Linked DNA regions of Macaca fascicularis. The protein of the gene in region 1 interacts with the protein of each later gene in a biochemical or structural test. Links are inferred from orthologs where the notes say so. Each region holds a gene or a part of one and is shown on either strand. Other genes may lie near its edges.

The links.
Region 2: of the proteins of LATS1 (region 1) and MINK1, one has a biochemical effect on the other in vitro, tested with the Homo sapiens proteins (2 studies listed by BioGRID). The link is inferred for Macaca fascicularis from reciprocal best matches to the Homo sapiens genes LATS1 and MINK1.

Annotation. Positions count from the first base shown.
Region 1 is NC_088378.1:57,697,730-57,704,578, reverse strand, and holds part of LATS1 (serine/threonine-protein kinase LATS1), read left to right. Parts: intron 1-3,720; 5' UTR 3,721-3,722; coding exon 3,723-3,849; intron 3,850-6,849. UniProt on the Homo sapiens protein: Negative regulator of YAP1 in the Hippo signaling pathway that plays a pivotal role in organ size control and tumor suppression by restricting proliferation and promoting apoptosis.
Region 2 is NC_088390.1:4,994,413-5,001,261, forward strand, and holds part of MINK1 (misshapen-like kinase 1), read left to right. Parts: coding exon 1-178; intron 179-2,360; coding exon 2,361-2,477; intron 2,478-2,939; coding exon 2,940-3,026; intron 3,027-3,233; coding exon 3,234-3,452; intron 3,453-3,667; coding exon 3,668-3,841; intron 3,842-4,157; coding exon 4,158-4,418; intron 4,419-4,843; coding exon 4,844-4,929; intron 4,930-5,092; coding exon 5,093-5,203; intron 5,204-5,345; coding exon 5,346-5,458; intron 5,459-5,692; coding exon 5,693-5,781; intron 5,782-5,985; coding exon 5,986-6,009; intron 6,010-6,132; coding exon 6,133-6,296; intron 6,297-6,684; coding exon 6,685-6,790; intron 6,791-6,849. UniProt on the Homo sapiens protein: Serine/threonine kinase which acts as a negative regulator of Ras-related Rap2-mediated signal transduction to control neuronal structure and AMPA receptor trafficking.

The DNA.
Region 1 (6,849 bases):
GAAACTAGATCATGGTCCATGCTTGGAATGGTGCATTCTGTGCCTAAATATTGATTAAATATGTCTTGCTGCTCACCAAAAAATACTTCTACTACATTTTTAATGTATAATATCTGGCTTTCATTGTATGGGTCGTTTTTATTTTTGTTTTGTTTTTATTGCAAGTCCTTGTTGTTCTGTGTAAATAGTCTTTGGAACGGTTCTAACCCTGGTTGTTTAGTTATTTTAGATGTTTTATTTATATTAATGGGAGATTGTTATACATCACAAAAGTTAATTAGTCATTGAATAACATTTTCGCCAAGTAGAAACAGCAATCATTTTTCAGCATGAAGATACAGTGTTGCTTTCACTTTTGATCTGACAATTATTAGAAAGTGAACTGAAGAAAATATCAGTATGCAGTTTCCTTTAAAGATGGGAACTCGCTATCTTGCCTGTGCTGGATTCCAACTCCTGGGCTCCAGCAATCCTCCACCACAGCCTCTCAAGTAGCTGGGACTACAGGTGCACTACTGCACCCAGCCAGGGTACTTTTCTGATAAACTTAATTCAACCCAAGTTAACACTTTGAAATCTTATGTAATGGTACCATTTTTTTCCCCTAAGTTGGACAAACTAATCAGTGATACTTGTTTGTTGATGTTTGTATTTTTGATGAGGGTCTGAACTTTTTTTTAAAAAAAATGGCGATTTGTCATACCCAGGCAGTTTGATTCCAGAGCTCTTACTTTAACCATGAGGTTAAAAGTCATTGAAAGTTATGGAGTAGGTAGGTGACATGATCAGAATTGTTTATTAAGATGAATCTGGCCCCATTGTAGTGTGGGTTAAAAAGGTGAACAGTTTTGCTTTGAATAATTATTTTAAAAATTCTCTTTGCCTAGTAATAATTTGAATTTTCACATGACATAGCAGCAAAGATTATTGAGATTTAGTAATGCCAGTATTAACCATACCTTGTTGTGGGGATTATAAAATTAGTATAACTTTCTAGAAGGCAGTCTGACAATAAATATTAGAATTTTAAATAAGTATTCTCTTTGATCCAGCAATTCCACTTCTGGGAATTTATTTTAAGGAAAATGCTCAGCAATGTGTGCACAAGAATTTTTATTGCAGCAATTTTTTTTTTTGTTCACAATTTTTGTTATGTGCAAGGAATAGGCTATATATATTATATATATGTTCATTTTATTAAACTATGAAGCATAATAAAATGAACATCCATGAACTTACCACCTGTCCTCAGAACTAGAATATTACTAGTATAATTGAAGTTATCAGTTTGCAGTATTATTTTACATTAGCAAAGAAATGAGGAACAACCTAAATGTCCATCAGTCAGGGATTTATAAATAATAGTACATCTGGCCAGACGTGGTGGCTCACGCCTGTAACCAGCACTTTGGGAGGCCAAGGTGGGCGGATTACCTGAGGTCTCGAGTTCGAGACCAGCCTGGCCAACATGGTGAAACCCCATCTCTACTAAAAATACAAAAATTAGTTGAGTGTGGTGGCGCACGCCTGTAGTCCCAGCTACTTGTAAGGCTGAGGCAGGAGAATCACTTGAACCCGGGAGACGGAGGTTGCAGTGAGCCGAGATGGCACCACTGCACTCTAGCCTGCGACAGAGTGAGGCTCCGTCTCAAAAAAAAAAAAAAATAAAATAAAAATAGTACATATACATGATGAAGTTCAATATCAAGGTATTTATTTATTTATTTATTTATTTATTTTTTGAGACGGAGTCTCTCTCTGCCGCCCAGGCTGGAGTACGGTGGCCGGATCTCAGCTCACTGCTAGCTTCGCCTCCCGGGTTTACGCCATTCTCCTGCCTCAGCCTCCCGATTAGCTGGGACTACAGGCGCCCGCCACCTCGCCCGGCTAGTTTTTTGTATTTTTAGTAGAGACAGGGTTTCACCGTGTTAGCAAGGATGGTCTCGATCTCCTGACCTCGTGATCCGCCCGTCTCAGCCTCCCAAAGTGCTGGGATTACAGGCTTGAGCAACCGCTCCCGGCCAATATCAAGGTATTTAAAGGAATGAGGTTGAACTATCATATTTTCTCAGTTCTGAAATGCCACTAACTCTAAGATGAGCCGTCTATTTAGTAGCAATTTTTTAGCGGGCAGAAAGTAAACATAAAGATTTTATTAATAATCAGTAGCATACATTTATTCGTTCAATTGTATACCATTTTCATCACAATAAAGTTTGAGTCTCAGCCTTATTCACATTCAGAATCTAGGATTCTTCTGAATTACTTTGGGTAGTTAATGCAACATCATGATAACAGGCTGCTTTTCATAATGCTAGTTAATTATCTTAACCTATGTTGTCTTTATGATTGTGTGTATAATTTTAAGGTATAATGAAGAATACTGGGATGTTGCTTTCCTTTTTGCTTAGTTTTTTTTTTTTCTTCTAATTAAACAGCTTCCTCTGAAGATAACTGTAAAAGTTTTGACAGATTTTGAGTCTCTTACCTTTGAAAATTCTGTGATCTTGCTTGAATTTAATAATTATGGCTTTAATTGCATTGTCTATTGAATGACAGTTTGAGTGCACAATACTATATCACAATGGAACCTTTTCAAAACATTTTGTGGGCCAGGCATGGTGTAATCCCAGTATTTTGGGAAGCTGAGGCAGGAGGAACACTTGAATTCAGGAGTTTGACACCAGCCTGGGCAACCTAGCAAGCTCTCCATCTCTATTTACAAAAGTAATAATAGCCAGGCGAGTAGCTCGTGTTTGTAATCCCAGCACTTTGGGAGGCTGAGATGGATGGATCACATGAAGTCAGGAGCTCAAGACCAACCTGGCCAACATGGCGCACCCCTGTCTCTACTAAAAATACAAAAATTAGCTGTGTGTGGTGGTGGGTACTTGTAGTCCCAGCTACTCTGGAGGCTGAGGCATGAGAATCACTTGAACTTGGGAAGCAGAGGTTGCAGTGAGCCAGCATATGGCACTACACTCCAGCCTGGGCAACAGAGTGAGACTCATGCCTATAATCCCAACACTTTGGGAGGTTGAGGCAGGTGGATCACCTGAGGTCAGGAGTTCAAGACTACCCTGGCCAACATGATGAAACCCTGTCTCTACTAAAAATACAAAAAGTAGCCACACATGATGGCACATGCCTGTAATTCCAGCTACTTGAGAGGCTAAGGCAGGAGAATCGCTTGAACCCGGGAGGCAGAGGTTGCAGTGAACTGAGATTGCGCCATTGCACTCCAACCTGGACAACAAGAGAGAAACTGCTTCTCAAAAACAAACAAACAAACAAAAACAAAACAGAAAAAAAGAAAAAACATTTTGAGCATCATATATGGTGCCGCCAATGAAAATATTACAATTGGCCGGGTATGGTGGCTCATGCCTGTAATCGCAGCACTTTGGGAGGCCAAGGCAGGTGAATCACCTGAGGTCAGGTGTTTGAGACCAGCCTGGGCAACATGGTGAAACCCCATCTCTACTAAAAGTACTAAAAATTAGCCGGGTGTGGTGGTGGATGCCTGTAATCCCAGCTACTTGGGAAGCTGAGGCAGGAGAATTGCTTGAACCTGGGAGGCAGAGGTTGCAGTGAGCCGAGATGGTGCCATTGCACTCCATCCTGGGCAACAGAGCGAGACTCTGTCTCAAGAAAACAAAAAAAGAAAATAATACAATTGAGGTAACAAAGATTTCGGCTTTTATTTTATGGTTAAGTTAGGCATGTGCAATGACTGCTACTCTAGAACTTCTCTGCTTTGGAGGGGAGATTCGACCTTGATTTATTTGGAAGGAACTCTCAGCCATTGTTTTAATTATCATCCCTGGCCATCTGTGAAGTGTGTGTTGGGTGAGTATTCTCTCTTTGGAAGGTACAAATCTTTCTCAACTAGCTTATTGCTCATAGAAGTTGGGGGCCCAAGGGTTGATCTTAAGATGTACTCTATTTATTATTATTATTTTTTTCTGGGACAGAGTTTTGCTCTGACTCCAGCCCAGGCTGGAGTGTAGTGGCAAAAATCACGGCTCACTACAGCCTTGACCTCCTGGGCTCTATTGATCCTCTCACCTCAATTGATCCTCCCACCTCAGTCTCTCCAGTAGCTGGGACTGCAGGTGCACACCAACATACTTGGCTGATTTTTTCTATTTTTTGTAGAGATAGGGTCTCACTTTGTTGCCCAGGCTAGTCTCAAACACCTGGGCTCAAGAGATCCGCCCACTTCAGCCTCCAAAAGTTTTGGGATTACAGGCATGAGCCACTGCACCTGGCCCTAAATTTTAGAAATATTAAAATGTAGAAAAGCATGCTTAGAATCAAACAAACGTGACACTGGCTGGGCATGGTGGCTCACGCCTGTAATCCCAGCACTTTGGGACGCCGAGATGGGAGGATCACTTGAGGCCAGGAGTTTGAGACCAGCCTCGTCAACATAGCGAGACCCTCGTCTCTATTAAAAAAAAAGAGAGAGAGAATAAAAGATAAAATGTGGCTGGGCGCAGTGGCTCACACCTGTAGTCCCAGCACTTTGGGAGGCCAACAAGGGCGGTCTCCTGAAGTCAGGAGTCTGAGACCAGCCTGACCAGCATGGAGAAACTCTGTCTCTACTAAAAATAGAAAATTAACTGGGTATACTGGCACATGCCTGTAATCCCAGCTACTTGGGAGGCTGAGGCAGGAGATTTGCTTGAACCTGGGAGGCGAAGGTTGCGGTGAGCCATCACACCATTGCACTCCAGCCTGGGTGACAAGAGCGAAACTCCGTCTCAAAATAAATAAATAAATAAATGACACCTATTACTGTGGAAAGATGTTCATGGTATTATGTTATTCCTTTGCCAACAAATTGGGCCCTGATTAGTGATAGAGGCAAGATTCTTGGGTCCTATGGTCCACATGCCCAGTAATCTCTTAATCGGGTCCAGATATGATGAAGTAATGTGTCCTGTGTGCTGCGTGTGTGCGTACTCTGTCTGTCTGTCACTCACTGTATCTGTTTCTCTCTATCTCCCTTCCTTTTCTCTTCCCCTCACTCACTCACCGCAGTACACAAGGGCCACAGTAAAGCACTCTTCCTAGAAAAAGAGAATAATGGAAGATAAGCAGCAAATGCTGATCTATAATCTGAAATCTCCTAGTCAGATTCTGTGTAAGCAACCAGCCGTGGAGGTAGGGGAGATTGGACCTTGATTTATTTGGAAGGAACTCTCTCATCCATTGTTTTAATTATCCTTGGCCACCTGCGAAGTTTGTGTTGTACCTTCCCTTTGGAACATACAGATCTTTCTCAGCTAGCTTATTGCTCATAGAAGTTGGGGGCCCAAAAGTTTTAAATTTTGAACAGACGAAAAGAGTTTTTTAGTATGAACTTAAGGATAATTTAAGAAAAAAAAAATTTCTTTCTGTTTTTTGAGACGGAGTCTCACCCTGTCACCCAGGCTGGAGTGCAGTGGCATAATCTTCGCTCACTGCAACCTCCGCCTCCCAGTTTCAAGTGATTCTTCTGCCTCAGCCTCCTGAATAGCTGGAACTACAGGCACACACCACCATGCCCAGCTAATTTTTGTATTTTTTAGTAGAGACAAGGTTTCACCATATTGGCCAGGCTGGTCTCGAACTCCTGACCTCGTGATCCACCCGCCTCAGCCTCCCAGAGTGCTGGAATTAGAGATGTGAAGCACCGCGCCCGGCCAAAAAATATTTTTTTTTAACAAAACAGTTTCTTTAAGTTAGTAAACCTCTTCCAGTCTGTTTGGTTTCCATCAATTCTGTGTGTCAGTAACCACAACCAAAGTTTGCATGTATTGGTAAACTCATCCAAAGATTTAAGAGTGTCTATTCCTCCTCCTCTCATTTGGTTATTTGAGGCTATTAGGTTTGATGGGAGGGCTACATCTTTAATACGGTCTTAACCACAGAAGCACTAGTTAGCTAACGAGTTTCAGTAGGCATCTGTGCTCAGTCTTTTAATCCTGCCTCTAGGGGTCTAGGTGCAAACTGCTTTTCCAGTCCTTCAAGGCTTTAAATTTCTGAACTTTTTCTATTCTCTTCTGTTTTTGCTTTCAAATCTGCTACTTCCTTCTTGAACTCATCATTTACTTATAATACTTGCCAAATATCTAATAGCAGCTAATACTCAGTTCCAAAATCCTCTTTACCAAACTCTTTTATAAGACTACAAGATCAGTAGCCTCTTTGTATGCTCACTGACCTTGTAGTTGTATGAAAAGTTATTATAGGCAACAGCTTTACCAGATATTTTGCCACTATGAAACATGATCCTCCGTCTTTCCGGCCTCTGGTATCTGTTTCCTCTCAACCCTCAGCCTGACCACTAAGGCAGTATCACTAAGGTAGGACTGCATAGATTTTTATTGTAGCAGCACCTGACTTCCAGGTACCAGTTTGCTGTGTTAGGATAATGAAACACTGAATATACAGATGGACAATGGCCAGATCATGTATGAAACTAGAACTCTGACCCATGACCTATGTAGCAGTAGGCCCAAACAGTCAGGACTTGGTCAGTAATTACCAGCTTCCCTAATTTTTTTGCCTACTTCCAATTTGGGACGACTCAGAGAAAGCCAAATATGCTTCCCAAACCAACCACATAGGATACCCCGCTTCCAGTGTCGACGAAGAGTCAAACTCTGTAAAATATTTTAAGAGATCTAAGCCAAATATGAGTGGCCATTGCCCCATGACACAGCCCTCAGGAGCTCCTGAGAACATGTGCCCAAGGTGATCAGACTACATCTTGGTTTTATACATTTTAGGGAGACGTAAGACATCAGTCAGTATATGTAAGATGTACATTGGTTAGGTCCAGAAAGGAAGACAACTTGA
Region 2 (6,849 bases), on another chromosome or scaffold:
ACGCCGGGAATTTCTCCGCCTCCAGCAGGAAAATAAGAGCAACTCAGAGGCTTTAAAACAGCAGCAGCAGCTGCAGCAGCAGCAGCAGCGAGACCCCGAGGCACACATCAAACACCTGCTGCACCAGCGGCAGAGGCGCATAGAGGAGCAGAAGGAGGAGCGGCGCCGCGTGGAGGAGGTGGGCTGTCTCCCAAGGGCCCAGGCCTGGCGCGGCCTCCTGCTGACCTTCCCAGGGTCCATTAGGGCCTCAGGGAGAACAGGTTTTAAAATGCCTTAAATGGGGCCGGGCGCGGTGGCTCACGCCTGTAATCCCGGCACTTTGGGAGGCCGAGGCGTGCGGATGATGAGGTCAGGAGATCGAGACCATCCTGGCTAACACAGTGAAACCCCATCTCAACTAAAAATACAAAAAATTAGCCGGGCGTGGTGGCGGGCGCCTGTAGTCCCAGCTACTGGGGAGGCTGAGGCAGGAGAATGGCGTGAACCCGGGAAGCGGAGCTTGCAGTGAGCTGAGATCCAGCCACTGCACTCCAGACTGGGCGACAGAGTGAGACTCTGCCTCAGAATTAAAATAAAATAAAATGCCTTAAATCAATGGCATTTCTGTTGAAACAGTTACATGATTTCAAATTTCATGATTAGCTGGACTTAACAAAAAATGTGTCTAAATAATAGGCAATAGACCAGATGCGGTAGCTCACTTTCGGAGGCTGAGGTGGGTGGATCACCTGAGGTCAGGAGTTTTTGAGACCAGTCTGGCTAACATGGTGAAACCCCATCTCTACTAATAATACAAAAATCAGCCGGGTGTGGTGGCACGTGCCTGTAATCCCAGCTACTTGGGAGGCTGAGACAGGAGATTCACTTGAACCCGGGAGGCAGAGGTGAGCAGAGATCACACCACTGCACTCCAGCCTGGGTGACAGAGTGAGACTCCATCTCCAATACTACTACTAATAGTAATAACCCGGCCGGGCGCGGTGGCTCAAGCCTGTAATCCCAGCACTTTGGGAGGCCGAGACGGGCGGATCACAAGGTCAGGAGATCGAGACCATCCTGGCTAACACGGTGAAACCCCGTCTCTACTAAAAAATACAAAAACCTAGCTGGGCGAGGTGGCGGGCGCCTGTAGTCCCAGCTACTCGGGAGGCTGAGGCAGGAGAATGGCGTGAACCCGGGAGGCGGAGCTTGCAGTGAGCTGAGATCCGGCCACTGCACTCCAGTCTGGGCGACAAAGCGAGACTCTGTCTCAACAACAACAAAAATAATAATAATAATAATAACCCGCAGCATCCACACTGTCCACCTGCTACCCCCAAAGCAGGCCCTCTCATTGTTGAACAAAAAATAATTTGCAAGAAAACCTGCTACAGAAGAGCCTTGTGCAGTTTTGAAAATATAGGCCGGGCGCGATGGCTCACGCCTGTAATCCCAGCACTTTGGGAGGCCAAGGCGGGTGGATCATGAGGTCAGGAGTTCAAGACCAGCCTGTCTAATATGGTGAAACCCCATCTCTACTAAAAATACAAAAAAAAATTAGCCGGATGTGGGTGGTGCACACGCCTGTAGTCCCAGCTACTCGGGAGGCTGAGGCAGGAAAATCACTTGAACCCGGGAGGCGGAGGTTGCTGTGAGCCAAGATCATGCCACTGCACTCCAGCCTAGGGAACAGAGCAAGACTCTGTCTCAAAAAATAAATAAATAAATAAATAAAATAAATATAGCGTTCAGATAGCATAGTGACAAAGTCCTATCTAACGGCGTGGAGAAGGCGTGCCAGCAACTTCATTGCAGGAATAGGCACAAGTTCCCTCAAGTGTAAGGGCCCCTTAGGGCTTGCGCTTTTGTTGTTGTAGGCGGTGGTGGCGGTGGTGGTTGTGGTAGACTTTGTGATCGGAAATACCGTGAAAGTCAAGTACCACCTGGGCATCGGGGCTTGCCAAGGAGCGGGCCAGGTCCCTTTTCTGTGCACGGGCACCTGGTGCCCTCTTGTGGCCAAAGTCTATCGCTACGACCCGCTCTGTATGGACTTCAGGCAAAGGTCGGTTTTAGGCTAGGAGTGCTGGGGATGCTTGTTTTGAGTTCGGGTTTTGTTTGTTTGGTGGGGTGTGGGTAGGGGAAGGTGTTGTCTAGCTAAGCACACCCCACAGGCAGCGGTCAGTCTCACAGCCTCTCTCATCACAGCTACTGGCTGTTTTCCCGAGCCCAGCCCCGCGGGCCCTTGGGTGGGGATGGGTATAGTTACAGAAACAAGCGCAAGCCTCCGTGGTGAGCAAGGAGAGCTCCCTCCCTGTCCATGGAGGGACAGTGCTGCCGCGGTGTCCGGTATGGTCCTTAAGACCACCTGGCTCTCCCCATAGCAACAGCGGCGGGAGCGGGAGCAGCGGAAGCTGCAGGAGAAGGAGCAGCAGCGGCGGCTGGAGGACATGCAGGTTCTGCGGCGGGAGGAGGAGCGGCGGCAGGCGGAGCGCGAGCAGGTAGAGCGCCGCACCCACATCCCTGCCCTCCCGCCCTCCTGCTCCTGCTGCCTGCCGCCCCTGCTCCCCGTGCCCTTCCCCCTTCTCTCCCCCCCACCCAGATTCCTCCTATCTTTTCTAGCTTCACTCTTTCTCTCTGTTTTCTCCCACCCTTCAACCCCAACCCTGGCCCCCTCCCTCCTCCTTCCCTGCCTCATTCCCATCTCTGTACCCCATCCCTGATTCTCCCTGGCCCCTTCCTCATCCCCCTCATTCCCTGTGCCCTCTTCTTCCCCATCTGTGCCGCGTGGCCCCCCGGGGCTCATGCCATCCCCTCCCCTACCTCTCTCTTACTTTTCCCCTGCACCCCCTCATCCTCCTCCTGCGGATCCCTTCCTCCTTCTCCAACTCGCTGCTGCTGCCCTCCTCTGCCTCTTCCTCCTTCCCTGCCCTCTGCCCCCCACCCTACACCCCGCCCCCCAGGAATATATTCGTCACAGGCTAGAGGAGGAGCAGCGACAGCTCGAGATCCTTCAGCAACAGCTGCTCCAGGAACAGGCCCTGCTGCTGGTAACGGGTCCCTCAGCGTCCTCTGGGAAGATGCTTTTCAGAGCTTCTTTGCTGGAACGGGATGGGAACACTTCAAGGGAAGGGATTCACCCAAGACATCAAGGGAATACATCTCCTCTCTAGGCAGTTGGAGAAAAGAGAGGGCATGCCTGCTCTGACTCCCAGGCCACACTCTGCTGAGCCCTCTCTCCCTACCCTTGGGCCCAGGAATACAAGCGGAAGCAGCTGGAGGAGCAGCGGCAGTCAGAGCGTCTCCAGAGGCAGCTGCAGCAGGAGCATGCCTACCTCAAGTCCCTGCAGCAGCAGCAACAGCAGCAGCAGCTTCAGAAACAGCAGCAGCAGCAGCTCCTGCCCGGGGACAGGAAGCCCCTGTACCATTATGGTCGGGGCATGAATCCCGCTGACAAACCAGCCTGGGCCCGAGAGGTACTCACTGCCTCCTTTGCCTCCTGAGACTGCAGTCCCACTGCCTGAGGCCTGGAGAGCCACAAGCAGTGGTTGTTCACAGGAACAGGCACCGAGCAGGGGAAAGGAGCACACAGCACACAGCATAGGACAGGAGTGGTGAGGGCGGGCGGGACCCTCAGTTTTGAGAACAGGGAGGCAAGAGCTGGCCTGCTTGACATCCCTTCACATCACAGGTAGAAGAGAGAACAAGGATGAACAAGCAGCAGAACTCTCCCTTGGCCAAGAGCAAGCCAAGCAGCACGGGGCCTGAGCCCTCCATCCCCCAGGCCTCCCCCGGGCCTGCAGGACCCCTTTCCCAGACTCCTCCTATGCAGAGGCCGGTGGAGCCCCAGGAGGGACCGCACAAGGTGAGTCTCCCCCCACTCCTGTCTTAATGCAGACACGGGGAGCTTTGCTCAGAGCCCAGGTGCACACACACACACGCACACACACACCTGCTCAGCCTGAGCCAGGATTCCAGAGCACAGGCTATGTGGACAGACACACTCACCTGCTTCTTGCTGCCTATGTCTGTCCTGACTTAGCTGTCCTCAGGCTCAAGGAACCCCTTGTCCTTCAATGGAGGAAGCGGCAACTGAAGTCCCTTCCCACCTCAGACCCCGATTTGCAGGTGGGGAGCTGCCATGGAGCAGGCAGTCCACCCTCCCTGGTCTCTCCCTGCAGAGCCTGGTGGCGCACCGGGTCCCACTGAAGCCATATGCAGCACCTGTGCCCCGATCCCAGTCCCTGCAGGACCAGCCCACCCGAAACCTGGCTGCCTTCCCAGCCTCCCATGACCCCGACCCTGCCATCCCTGCACCCACTGCCACGCCCAGTGCCCGAGGAGCTGTCATCCGCCAGAATTCAGACCCCACCTCTGAAGGACCTGGCCCCAGCCCGAACCCCCCAGCCTGGGTCCGCCCAGATAACGAGGCCCCACCCAAGGTAAGGACAGCCTGTGGGCCCAGGGAAAAGCAAGGAACTAGTCATGAGGAGAAGGAGGGCAGTGAAGGGGCCGCGTGGGGAAGAGTGCAGGCGGGAAGCCAGAGAAAGCTAGGGCGCTGCCCAGCGGGGCTCAGCCGTCCAGCTGAGGAGGCAACGTGGAGGTGTGGCATTGATGCCCCTGGGGAGCGTGGGAACGGAGAAACGCCCAGGGTGTTTCGGGGCCGCTAAGGGGCAGACTTTGTGAGTTAGAACCGCAGCTCCAACCATCTCCCAGCTTCATAACCTTGGACGTATTCACTAACTTCCCTGAACCTCAGTTTTCTCATCCATCAAAGTGAGGAGCTCACCTCTCAGAGGTGAGGCTCAAACATCTCTGAAGTGCCCGTCGCAGCGCCAGCTCGCAGCACGTGGACTTCTCTCCACAGGTGCCTCAGAGGACCTCATCTATCGCCACTGCCCTTAACACCAGTGGGGCCGGAGGATCCCGGCCAGCCCAGGCAGTCCGTGCCAGGTAATGCCTGGGTAGGGCAATGCCTGGGTGAGGTCTGAGGACAGCCTAGGGAGTAGGGGGGCACAGGGACTTTACCAGCCTACCCACCTAGGGGTGGGCAAGCCCCAGCCCCATCACCTCAGCGCCCCCCCGCCCCCTCGGCACCCCTGTGCTCCCTTCACAGACCTCGCAGCAACTCCGCCTGGCAAATCTATCTGCAAAGGCGGGCAGAGCGGGGCACCCCAAAGCCTCCAGGGCCCCCTGCTCAGCCCCCTGGCCCGCCCAACGCCTCTAGGTAATGGAGTCGTCCCCCGACTCACTCCCACCTCTCACTTCTGCCACCTGCTTCCCTGGTGATGGCTCCCTCTGCAGTGCAGCTCAGCACCCCAGAGAGGGGAGCACCCTGCCTCCCTGACCCTGACTCTGCCCCCCAACAGTAACCCCGACCTCAGGAGGAGCGACCCTGGCTGGGAACGCTCGGACAGTGTCCTCCCGGCCTCGCACGGGCACCTCCCCCAGGCCGGCTCACTGGAGCGGAACCGCGTGGGAGGTATGTGAGCCAGGGCTGGGCAGCCTGCTCTGGGCCTGGAGTCTTATCAGGATGGACCCTGCCTTTGGTGGCTTTGGACTGGGACACCCACAGGGACAGGGAGGACCTGCGTGGGTATGGAACTCGGGGCTGAGTTCTGGGGCTCAGGGGCAAGGGGTCAGCCCAGGTGTGGGCTTGAGGCCATCCCTTGTCCAGGCATCAGTGACCTTTCTTCTTCCACCCTGCCATGTCCAGCCTCCTCCAAACTGGACAGCTCCCCAGTGCTCTCTCCTGGGAATAAAGCCAAGCCCGATGACCACCGCTCGCGGCCAGGCCGGCCCGCAGTGAGTCGCCTGGTGGCCGGCACCGCCTGCCTCATCCTGGTTTGGGGCTTAGCCCCAGGGAGCTGGGTGCCAGGGGGGGTCTCCGCGGATCTACTGGGAAGGGCTGTGGGGATGGAGGGACTGGTGCTTCTCATGCTACTAACCTTTTCTAACCTCTTTCCTAACATCTCTCCTGGCTCGCTCTTCCCCTGCGGCCCCTCCCAGAGCTATAAGCGAGCAATTGGTGAGGTTAGTGAGATGGGCCTGTTGTGGGGGCCCCTCCTGTCACCTTGCTGGGGTGTCCCAGCACCCTTTGTCTGCCTCCACCCAGGCCCACCTTCTCCCTGCCCCTCACGTGGCTCCTCCCCGCAGGACTTCGTGTTGCTGAAAGAGCGGACCCTGGACGAGGCCCCTCGGCCTCCCAAGAAGGCCATGGACTACTCATCGTCCAGCGAGGAGGTGGAGAGCAGTGAGGATGACGAGGAGGAAGGCGAAGGCGGGCCATCAGAGGGGAGCAGAGACACCCCTGGGGGCCGGTACGGCATCGGGAGTGGGGCCCTCCCACTCCAAGGCACAAGGAGGGAGGGGAAGTGGCAGTGGAGGGAGAGGTAGGGCTTTGGGGCAAGTCTGAGGGAGGACAGCGCCCTTCTCTAGAGAGTGGGGTGAGGGTGCAGGTTCCTGTCTCTCTCCTGCTGCCCTGTGTGTTGTGGGGTGGCCTCTCCAAGTGCCTGTCTGCTGTGCCAGCCTGCCCTGTGTGCCATGCAGGGAAGCACCTCACGGTGGAACAGGGACTACCCCGTGAGGGTGGAGCAGGTTGTGTTTTGAATAGAGACAAAAGCCTGGGCTCTGGCTGCCATCTGCTGCCTTTGGCACTTCTGTGGCCACGGGCAGGACCTGGAGAGGCCCCACCTTCCTCTCTCACAGCAGCGATGGGGATACAGACAGCGTCAGCACCATGGTGGTCCACGACGTCGAGGAGATCACCGGGACCCAGCCCCCATACGGGGGCGGCACCATGGTGGTCCAGCGTGTGAGTGAGCCTCCGCTGCCTCCCCTGTAGCTGTGTGTGCCCTCCTCAGCCCCGTGCCG